2 linked regions of the Drosophila melanogaster genome follow. The protein of the gene in region 2 purifies or fractionates together with the protein of the main gene of each other region. This does not show direct contact. Each region holds a gene or a part of one and is shown on either strand. Other genes may lie near its edges. The genes, in order: raptor and heca.

Region 1 (4,935 bases), on a different chromosome or scaffold from region 2:
GGCAATGATGCGATCGATATTATTGGCCTGTTCCTCGCTACGATCCGTCACGGAGCTAATAAATGTGCCTAAGGCGAAGACGGCAGCGGCTCTCACTTCCGGTATCGAGTCCCGCAGCAGTACGTACAGCTTCTCGTGCGCCAGGTCGCGTGCTCCCGACCAACGCGCCTTCTCAAAGTTCTGCCACAGCATGCCCAGACAGATGGCTAGCCACTGGCGCAGCAGCCAACTTCCGTCGTTCAACTGCTCAAGGCAAATAGACAGTAGGGGACCTTGAAGCGCGCTCGTCTGTCCCAGCAGGAAGTTGTGCACTATGGAGGACAATACAAAGGCGGACAGTGTACGGTGCTCCTTGGAAACGGAGGTGTCCTGCAGCACGGAGAGGAAGTACTTGTATTCCTTGACCAGATCCACCTGGCAGCTGGGATCCACGGCCAGGATCTTGGCCCAAATGAACACCAAAACGGGTCGCAGTTCGCGCGTAGAACTCTGCAGCAGTTTAAGCACGTATGGAAAGATGCCCACGCCCAGGGCGAGATTAACGGCCCACGGACCAAGATCCAGAAAGCGAGCCAGCAGCTCCAAGGCCCTCAGACGGTGCACCTGCGACAGTAGGACCTGCAGCACAATGGGCAGCTGTTCCGGTGGCGTTCTCGACTCCGATTCGCTGTCCAGCCAAACCTGGAAGGCCGTGAGCTGGTGCTCGAAGAATGGCAGCTGGCGGTACGGCGCATTGTGATCGAGAATCTCCGGCAGCTGCTGTAGAGCCAAATCTACCACCAGATCCCAGGCCTTCCACATCGGATGGCGATAACAAGGCGGCAGGGCAGGCAGGGAAACTGGTGTGCAGTCGTGGCTTCGCAGAATGCGCTCGGCCAACAGGAAATTGCGGAACAAGCTGGCCACCAGCAGATCCTGGCGAAACAGGCGCTGAAAGAGCTCGCGAGGAAGTGTGTTCCATGCTATCGTGTCCGTAATGGCGGTGAAGATCCAGTTAAGCTCACCCATCATAGTGCGCCGGTCGTTGACCTTGCCTGCGATAGAATTTAATGGTTAACAGCATTCCCTGGGTGAGTAAAGGTATAACCTTACCTGGAATCTTGTCGATCAGTTCGCTCTGAATACGCGGTACCATGCCCAGCTTTTCTTGCATGGCGTACCACTTGAGCGCTATGTTAATGGGTGTTGTCAGACAGCTGGTGAAAAGATCCGCCGGCAGCTGTGCATTCATCGGAAGAATCTCGTTTGCAGCACAGGCAGCCAGGTGTATACAGTTCTTGTAACTGACCATCTGGTTGGTTAACTGCACCTGGTTGGCGGCTACGTTGGCGGCACCACCAGAGCCGCCCACTAACTGTTGGACACCACCCCTCTGCTGGGCGGCGGCCAGCGCCTTCCCTAGTTCTTCCTCGTGCTGTTTAGCGTATGGCTGAAACGAATTGATGATGATCCCGGCGTTGGAGCAGTCATACACGTAGATGGAGGGCGCTGACATCCAAGTGATAAGCTCGAATATGCTCAGGGGGATGTACTGCGTGAAGGTCTTGTTGAACACCCAGATCTCCCCGTTGGCTGTGGGCTTGGGCACTCCGTGTCCGTTGTAGTGGAAGAGTATGCGCTCCCCCTTGGCGTTCCGGCGTAGGGAGGTGCAGAGCTTCTTAACGTCATCCACGGTGGGATCGTTGCACTTCTTGTACCGGGCCCTTGGCTGCCAGCGTTCGTACTGCATCTGCAGGTTGCTTCCAATGAGTTCCATGGCCTTTGGCGGGGACACCGAGCTGGGATCTATCCAGCACTCTAGCCGTGAGCAGGGTTGGATCTTGACCACGTCCGGCGGATCCACGCCGATGTTGAGGCACAGAACCAGGGCCACACTTGCCGTCTTCATGCGCTCGCGGATGCGCCACGGCTGTCTCTCGTACATCATGGCCTGGATGCGCTCCTTGTGCCTTTTAGTCTGCAGGGAGAGCGGGCACCTGTCGTCGCGGATACGCTCGCCGAAGCATAAGCTCCGAGCGGGCGGCATGCCCAGGATCTGTATTTCCTTCAACCGCAGTTTGATAGAGTCGTCCCGGGGCCATTCCTTTCTGATAGTCCGGATTAGCTCCCTCAAAGAACCGAGGGAGGCCAGTTCCTGGCCGTTGGAGGCCTGAATGTCGGATATTTGCTCGATGTGCTTCACGATTGGTACCAGTGATTGGTCCTGCCTCATGTTGCTAATCACCTTACCCAGGTCGTTCAGAGAGTCGTCCTGAGATGGGTCCCGGCCGATGGCCACCTGGTTCCCCAAGGCGGCGGATCGACAGTGCTCGATGTGCTCCAGTTGCTCCATTATCAAGATTATCGGATCGTCCCACGGGGCGAATACATATTTCTCGTATCTCTTGCGGATTAGGACGCTCAGGACGGCCTCCTTGCTGGAGGCCACCTCTTGATCCGCGACGCTGCCGTTGCTGCTGCCGCTGCTTTCGTCGACTGCGACGCCGACTGCGGCAGCGGCGGACTTAGCGCGAACGGCACTTGTCATGTTCTGCGTGCTTTTTGTTTCTCTCGTTTCTCGCTGTATTGCTTTTTTTCTTTTTCCGTTTGCCGAGGAGAGGGTGCAGCTCAATGCGAGCGATTTCCCGGAGCGATTACGTCTCGGTCGCGGATTCAATCAGCTAAAAATCCCCCCGAGGGGACTCTAGCACATAACCCCAAACACTTTTCGCACTTTCCGCACCTCCACCACCGCCAGCGCCTCCTCAGCTCCGCTCCGCGCTTTTCTGCTTTTCTTTCCACGTTCCTCTTCTCCACGTTTTCCGCCTACGGATCGCGGACCATTTCCCGAAAACGGGTAAAAAGAACTCGGGGAAAACACGCCGCCTGGGCTGATTAGGTCGATGCCGGGACAAAATAAAAACCGTACAACTATAGCGAGCGATCTCCGACGGAAGATGGTGCGCATTAACAGGTTTATTTACTTTCGCTTGGGTTTATTTATTTATGTTTAATCGAATTATATTATACGAAAAGAATTGCGCAGAAAATAGAGCTGGAACAAAAATCGATGATTTTTTCGATTGCACGCTGGCAAGCGGTTTACAACATTGATATCGATAATAAACTAACAGCGAAATGGCCTAGCTGTAATGAATGGCGTTGCCAGATCATTACAAGCTCATTTGTAGCGCGTAATTCAAAAGTTTGTTTTGGTTACATTGACAGAAAAAACTAAAGGACTGCTCACCCGCAAAACAGGATCCTCGTGCAAAGGCGGCGGATATCGTACAGTATGGATGCGATGACGGCCGAACAAACCCGTAGCGAAGCTTTCCGCACTTTTCAGCGTTCTCTGGGTCGCAGTATACTTGAAGTAGTACCACTCCGGATTGTACAACTCCGGAAGTAGATCCGGAAATCGCCGCTGCATCCGTTCCGCCAGCTCAATCAGCTCATCCTCACCCTCGGCCACCAGTAATTTCTCATCTTCAGTGGCATTCAGATGCATCCAGTGCCATTGGCGCAGCTTTTCCAATTCAGCGGTGCAGATCGGCGGCTTCGTCTGATCCAGAATGCGTTTCTTTATCTCTGATAGTCGATTTTGCGCCTGAAGGATAACGGATTCGCTAGGATTTCTAGTTCCGTGTCGGATGATGGTCCAAATTCGCGTCGGATGGCAGCCTTGTCGGGTGAAACGGTTAAAAGAGAAAAATCAGCTGTTCCATTGCCATTTGCTAGCAGTAGGCATCGGTAATAATAAACTAGTAATAGTATAATAACAAATCTAAAGCGATTCTCTGTTTTATGATCAATAAAGAATCCATATGCTTTCATGATTATGAATTCACTGTATTAAGCGAGCGCTGTTAACTGTCACATGGCACAACACATGTTTGTATTTCTAAGCGGGTGCCTACTGTGGGTGCGTTACACAGAAAACAACAAAAATACAAACCGGCGTATTTCGGTGGCGTTTCGTCATAATTTGCGATCGCTCTGTAGGGCGTCTTTGTGGACAGTCTGCCCTCGATATCTGCGCGATTAAGGCGGCGGCACTCCCCCTCTTCAGACAACGTCACGCCCACGAAGAAGTGGAGGAGCAACAAAAACAAGCAGTAAAATTGGCTTAGCATCTTTCCGGGCGGTGGAAAAACTTGTCACGAGATTAGAAACGAGGTTTACCGAAAAACGGGGTTAAAACGTGAAAAACAGAACGAAATGCCAGCTCAAAAGAAATCTAGGAAATAATAAACACGAAAGAAAAACAAATTGACAAGTGTGCTAGTCGCGCAAGGTGGCAAGGCTATCAGCTCAGCTGGCAGCCCTAACACATGGGGCAGCCAAAAAAAACCCGTTTCCACCGCCAGTTGGCGGTATTTTTAAATAGCATCTTCGATGGCATCAGTTGTAAGTGCTTGGTTGATTACTCATTTCAGGAAGCTTTATTAACACTATTTTATAATAAATTTAGTTAGATTTGCAGGTGCCTAAATCAGCGCATTGCCACTCAACAAGTGTTCACTTCGCCCAATCGAGCTTTCTGCCTCAAAAAGCTCTGTTTTAACCGGCCCGGCAAACTAAGCGATTAAAAAATGGTTTAGTCGCACGCCAAACACGCAAAAGGAATAAGCGTTGGCAAGGGAAGCATTTTGAATATCCTGTCCAAGAATAAAACGAGAAACTTACACACAACTTAAAATTGCAATAAATAATTAACACCCCTGAATTCGTTTCGTGTGGTCACTCAGTTTTTGTTCCTAAGAGTTTCGGTTAAAATTTGTGCTTATCGAGGTTCTCCTCGTTGCTTTTTGGCTGCCATATGGCGCCCAAGGAGCCACAATCCGCAAATGTCAATAGTGAAAAAAGGAATAGCTGAAACGCACATGCCAAAAGTTTTGCGCCAAAACTAAAGTTCCAGGTAACCGGTAGCTGGGAGTAGTTGTCCATTTGGGA
Region 2 (5,042 bases):
GTGTTGTTCTCCTATTCGCATTTTTTTTTTTTTTTGATCGCAATGAAATAAATAATAGTATTCGCTGCTCTGGGAAACGGAAATATTAAAAGTAGGCACAAAATAAATAAGAACAAGAACACATCTGGGAAACATACCATACGATAAATGTCCGCTGCTATATGGCAGCATATAAATTTCAATAATTTTTCATTGCCTATGATTTATGAGTAAAAAGAATGCCAATGAAGAGTGAAGAACTACAGCAGAATAAAAGAAAGAAAGCCTTGACCCACCGAAAGCAACAAAACAAAAGATTATAATATTTTATTCATTCCCTCTGAGTTGATGCAAATCGTCGACTTCCTTAAGGGGAAAATATTCGCAAATTTCTCGAATAAACCAGCGCATTTTATTTAATATTTCTGCAAATATTGTCTGTATTTCGCAGCTGTTCAGTCGTCAAGGTTATATAATCTATGGAACCGGCAAACGAACGAAAAACGGGCAAACAAACGCCTCAATTGTTGATAACACTGTGCAACACGATAAAGGAACGAGAGTATCAATCTGGTATCTATTTGGCATGTTTGTTGATAACACCTGAAGCCACTGGAAGTTTTATCAAAGGAAAAGCTAAACAAAACTTATAACAACTGCAGTAAATAAATTCGAAATATTAAGGCCCCCCTTGTCGTTCAGTGTAATTGATAAAAGTTTTGTGAATAAATATTGAAACGCTTATGTACCCCAACCACATGCTGGGGAATTTCGCCACACAAATTTCGCTTTGTTAAACAAGTTAACCAAGTATTTAAGATGAAATTCTAGACAATAAGACTATAGCTCCTTATAATCTATATGGTTATCATGATGATATCTTGTACTTACCGCACTCGATCGGAATAGAGTTCGACCTCCTTGTTCTTCTGCTGCTGCACAAGTTGCTGCTGCTCGTAGCTGGCCAATGGCTTGAAGTTGCTGATATTGGCCAAAGCAGGCAGGTTATTCTGCTGCTGCTGTTGTTGTTGCAGCTGCTGCTGCTGCTGCTGCTGGGGAGCAATCAGCAGATTCTTGGACAAGCCCAATCCATTTTGCAAAAGGTTGCTGCCGAAAGCTGGACCCAGAGGCTGGATCAGCAGCGACTGCTGCTGTTGCTGCTGCTGCTGTGGCAGCAATTGCTGCACCGGCGACACGGATATCTCGCCACTGGACTGGGAGTCCGAGGGCGAGGTGGATCCACTGCCAGCTCCACTGGAGGATAGGCTGCCAGCCCTGGCGCGCAGGTCCAGGCCGAGGACATTGTTCGTATTGAGGATGTTGCTGAAAGTGGCCAGCGCACTGGTCTGCAGAACGCCGGAGGAGCCGTTGTTGCCACTGCTGCCATTGCTGGCGGTGTTGCCGTTGTTGTGGGGCAAACCCGACCCTATGACGCCCACATTGGGATTGGGCGTGAGTCCGGCGTAGCTGTTGCCGTTGTTGTTGCTCAAGGGGGTTTTGGTGTTGCCATTGACACCAGCACCACCACCACCGCCGCCGCCGTTGTTGTTGTTGTTGTTGCGGTTCCTCTTCTTCTTGGCCTTCTTCTTGTCGTCGTCCTCGCTGAGGCTGCCATTGGCCAGAGTGGGCCGGTTGCCAGACCCGTTGAGGTATATGACGCCCTGGCTGCTCGGCGGCACCCAGTCGAGGTCCTTGCGCAATTGTCCCCTGCCGCACTTGCAGCTGCAGGCCTTCTGGACCAGCTCGTAGCCCTTCTTGGTCCACAGGTGCTGCAGACGCTGCCGCTCCGACCAGGATCGAGCACGACCGTTGGCCTTCAGTGCCTGCAGCACGCTCGCCTCCCACCACTCGAAGCACTCGCGATGCATGTACTGGCCTGCGCTGCAGTTCTCGTTGTTGCACAGCACACGGATGCAGTCCGCCAGGGAGAGCTCGTTCAGGTGTATCAGGGTGTCCAGTTTGCGACAGTCTCCGCTGGGCAGGCAGCAGTGGACCATGCCCCCGCCGCCAACGCCGCCAACGCCACCGGTTCCCTGCATGGGCGCCATTAGGACGCCTGAAGAATTCACGTTCTCCGCGTAGAACTGCAGCAGTTGATGCTGCTGCGTCTGGTGCTGCTGCTGCAACTGTTGCTGGTGCTGCTGCTGGGTGCTGTTGCCGCTGCTGCTGATGTTGCTGTTGCGACGCGGAGCCATAAATTTGTGTTTTTTCCTCTTAATATGCACTCGTTGCGGCGAAAAACTTGGTTGGTTGGCTGGGTTGGCTGTCCTCGAGAATCCTCAATCTCTATTTCGAATCAGCATTTTGCCAACGATTATGAATTTCAAAATATTGCTTGTTGATTTTTTCGCGATTTTATGGTGCGATTTGCGGTCTATATAAATGCTGCTGGCATATATTTATTTATTTTTGAACCGATTCCAGAATATATTTCAACTGATGGTTTTGGCAGATCCAGTGAGTTTTCGTGAATTTTAGTGGGTTTTTGTAAATTTTTAGAAATTTTGCAGACAAAAGTCTGATTTTATACGGAATTTAATTTTTTTGTGTATAGTAAATGCTTGTTATTTTAGCGATTTAGTCTGTTTAGGTTTTAACTTTTCGGTTGCCTTTTTCAATTGTTTTCAGTTGGATTTTCCGAGTGGGTTTCTACCGAGATTGGTATTATTTTTAACTTGATGGGTAATTGCTTTCACTTATTGCTTTAAAAATTGTACACCTCCTTGCTGTGTGTATCAAAAATACTTCGAAAAATTCCCGTCAATGCAGTCTGTTGTGTTTTGCGTAATTTTCTGTTTTGTTGTTGTACCTGAGCTGAGTTTATTGTTGTTGTAGAACTTTAAGTATCAAAAATTGTTTTTTTTTTATTGTTTATCTTCGCTTCGTCCCTATCTCCCTCTCACACGATCGTTCGCTCTCATTCACACACGCGGCGCCATGTTCGGCAATTTTTCACATTTTGCTTCGCTTTCTGCGTTTATTTCTTTGCGCCTCTTATTTTTTTGCCGGCAAACAAAAAGGATTAGAGGATAGTGTAAATTTCCGATTGGTTTTTAGTCGCAGGACAATTGTAAACTGGAGTGTTCCTCTTCGATTTATTCGGTTTTGCTAGTTCTCCTGTTTTCCGTTTTTTCCCACCACGAGCGGCGCACGCAGAGAGAAGCCAAAAAACACAACCAACCAGATCGAAAGCGAAATTCAAACTGTTTTTGGTCTGTGCTTGCTCGCCGCGTTCGAACATCGCGCGTCGAACATCGCTGCCGGCGTCGCTGCTTGGCATTGGCAGCGAAGTTGGAGTTTTCCTCCACTCCGATTTTCCGCACTTCTTCATTCCGTTTTTCGGGGTTGGTGGGTGGTGGTTGGCTGGTTTTCACTTTCCACCACCGCCGCCAACCGCTCGCTTTTCATTCGGTGGAAAACTGAACAGATTTTTGGCGCTAAAATGAGAAATGGTGGGGGAAAATTGCGGAAGGGGCTACAAAAAAAGTGTCTAATTCACTAGAATTTTCCACTGTAGGCCAGAATTTGGTACATTTTCCCACTTTACAACGGAACTTTTGATAGCAGTTACATACTTGATTAGATTAAATGTCTTAAAAATATATGTAGGAGTTTAGACTTTTGTTAATAAGCTTCATTTCCATAGAAAATGTTTCTATCAAGCCGTATTTTCTTTAAACTAATAAGAATAATAATAACATGTTTCTAACTTTATAGCCAAAAAGGAATATATATTTCTCCCTATGTTTTGGTTCCAAAATTAAATGAATTCGATTATTATTAAATAATCTAAATTTAATTATTTATTAGAATTTTTAGATTTTACATCCATTTCATTTACAATTAGGAGCTCTCGATGATTCGCCAAAATTCACTTTCGTTGCGGCTCGAAGCTGGTTCGAATCAAGTTCGAAGCCGGTCGTTTCCCCTCCAACATGTTCGACTGCAGTTGCCATGCGAACGTCGAGCGCGTTGGCTCTGTTCCACATGCATGGAGCGTGCATATGTGTTTGTGCCAGAAACCGGCAAAGTAAACAACATGAAAACAGGGTTGCCGAGTCGCTGGAACTCGAACTTGCAGCGCACTTTTGCTTTCCGTGGCTAATCTTTTAATTCCAGTGGAAGTGGAAATGCCGTTCGATGTCTCCATCTCCCTCTGTCGGAACTGCCGTTCTCTGTCGCACGCTTCGATTGCTGTTATATATTTACATACAAACGTATCTATATAATCCCCTATATATTCGCAAGCACATTTGCACAAAAATACAAATACAATGAATGCATGCGAGTGCTGGCAATAAAAGTGGCAGAGACAAAAAGGAAGAGAATTAAAACATTGAACGAAAAAGAGTTGAAGATACCCTACCTTGAATTAAAACAACCAATTAAAACTTGAATACGCAGACCTATTACTGCTTTCAATTGAAACAAGTATGTACATATGTATGAATAATTGTAATAGTTAAATTGTTGATATTAGTCCTAAGATTACGAATATCGCAGGTAACTTTTGTATTATGACTACTTATTTGTGTTTTGACTGTAGGGTATTAAAGTTGCCACCAAAACCCAAATAAGCTTTCAAACGTAGAGCCTTTTTATTGTATCCTCGCCTTTGTGTATATATGTACATACACACATATAAAAATTCCCGCTGTGTTGCAAAAAAAAAAAGTATGCGAAAACGAATAAGAAGAAGCGGTAGAAATGGCAAAAAACAGGCACGTGTAGAACGAAAAGTGGTAAAGGGAAGGGATCTCGCAACCAGATGGGGTTTTCTTATAGGACTCAGGATCTCAGGATCCGGGGTTCTATTCTTTTGGTAACTGCGGTGCAAAGTCAAGGTCCAATTCCACTTATTTTCGAGTCAAACTGCGCAGTTTCCATTTTTTTCTCTCGATTTTGACCTGCCGGGTAGAAGAAGAGCGAGCAGGAGGGAGAGAACCAGAGGGTTCTGATATAATAATTAAGTCAGTCAGGTAGGCAGATCGGCAGCCATTGCGTAATAGGATCGTACGTACGAGTATATTTAGGTATGCATGTATGTAATTATGTATGTATAG

What was found.
Region 1: the proteins of heca (region 2) and raptor purify together in Drosophila melanogaster (affinity purification with western blotting; one study listed by BioGRID). This does not show direct contact.

What each region holds. Positions count from the first base shown.
Region 1 is NC_004354.4:6,087,180-6,092,114, forward strand, and holds the start of raptor (raptor), read right to left. Parts: upstream 3,023-4,935; 5' UTR 2,528-3,022; coding exon 1,093-2,527; intron 1,035-1,092; coding exon 1-1,034. Other genes in the region: Mipp2 (multiple inositol polyphosphate phosphatase 2), read right to left, coding at 3,230-3,663, 3,938-4,115.
Region 2 is NT_033777.3:30,276,076-30,281,117, reverse strand, and holds the start of heca (headcase), read right to left. Parts: upstream 3,187-5,042; 5' UTR 2,175-3,186; coding exon 871-2,174; intron 1-870. UniProt on the Drosophila melanogaster protein: Required for imaginal cell differentiation, may be involved in hormonal responsiveness during metamorphosis. Involved in an inhibitory signaling mechanism to determine the number of cells that will form unicellular sprouts in the trachea.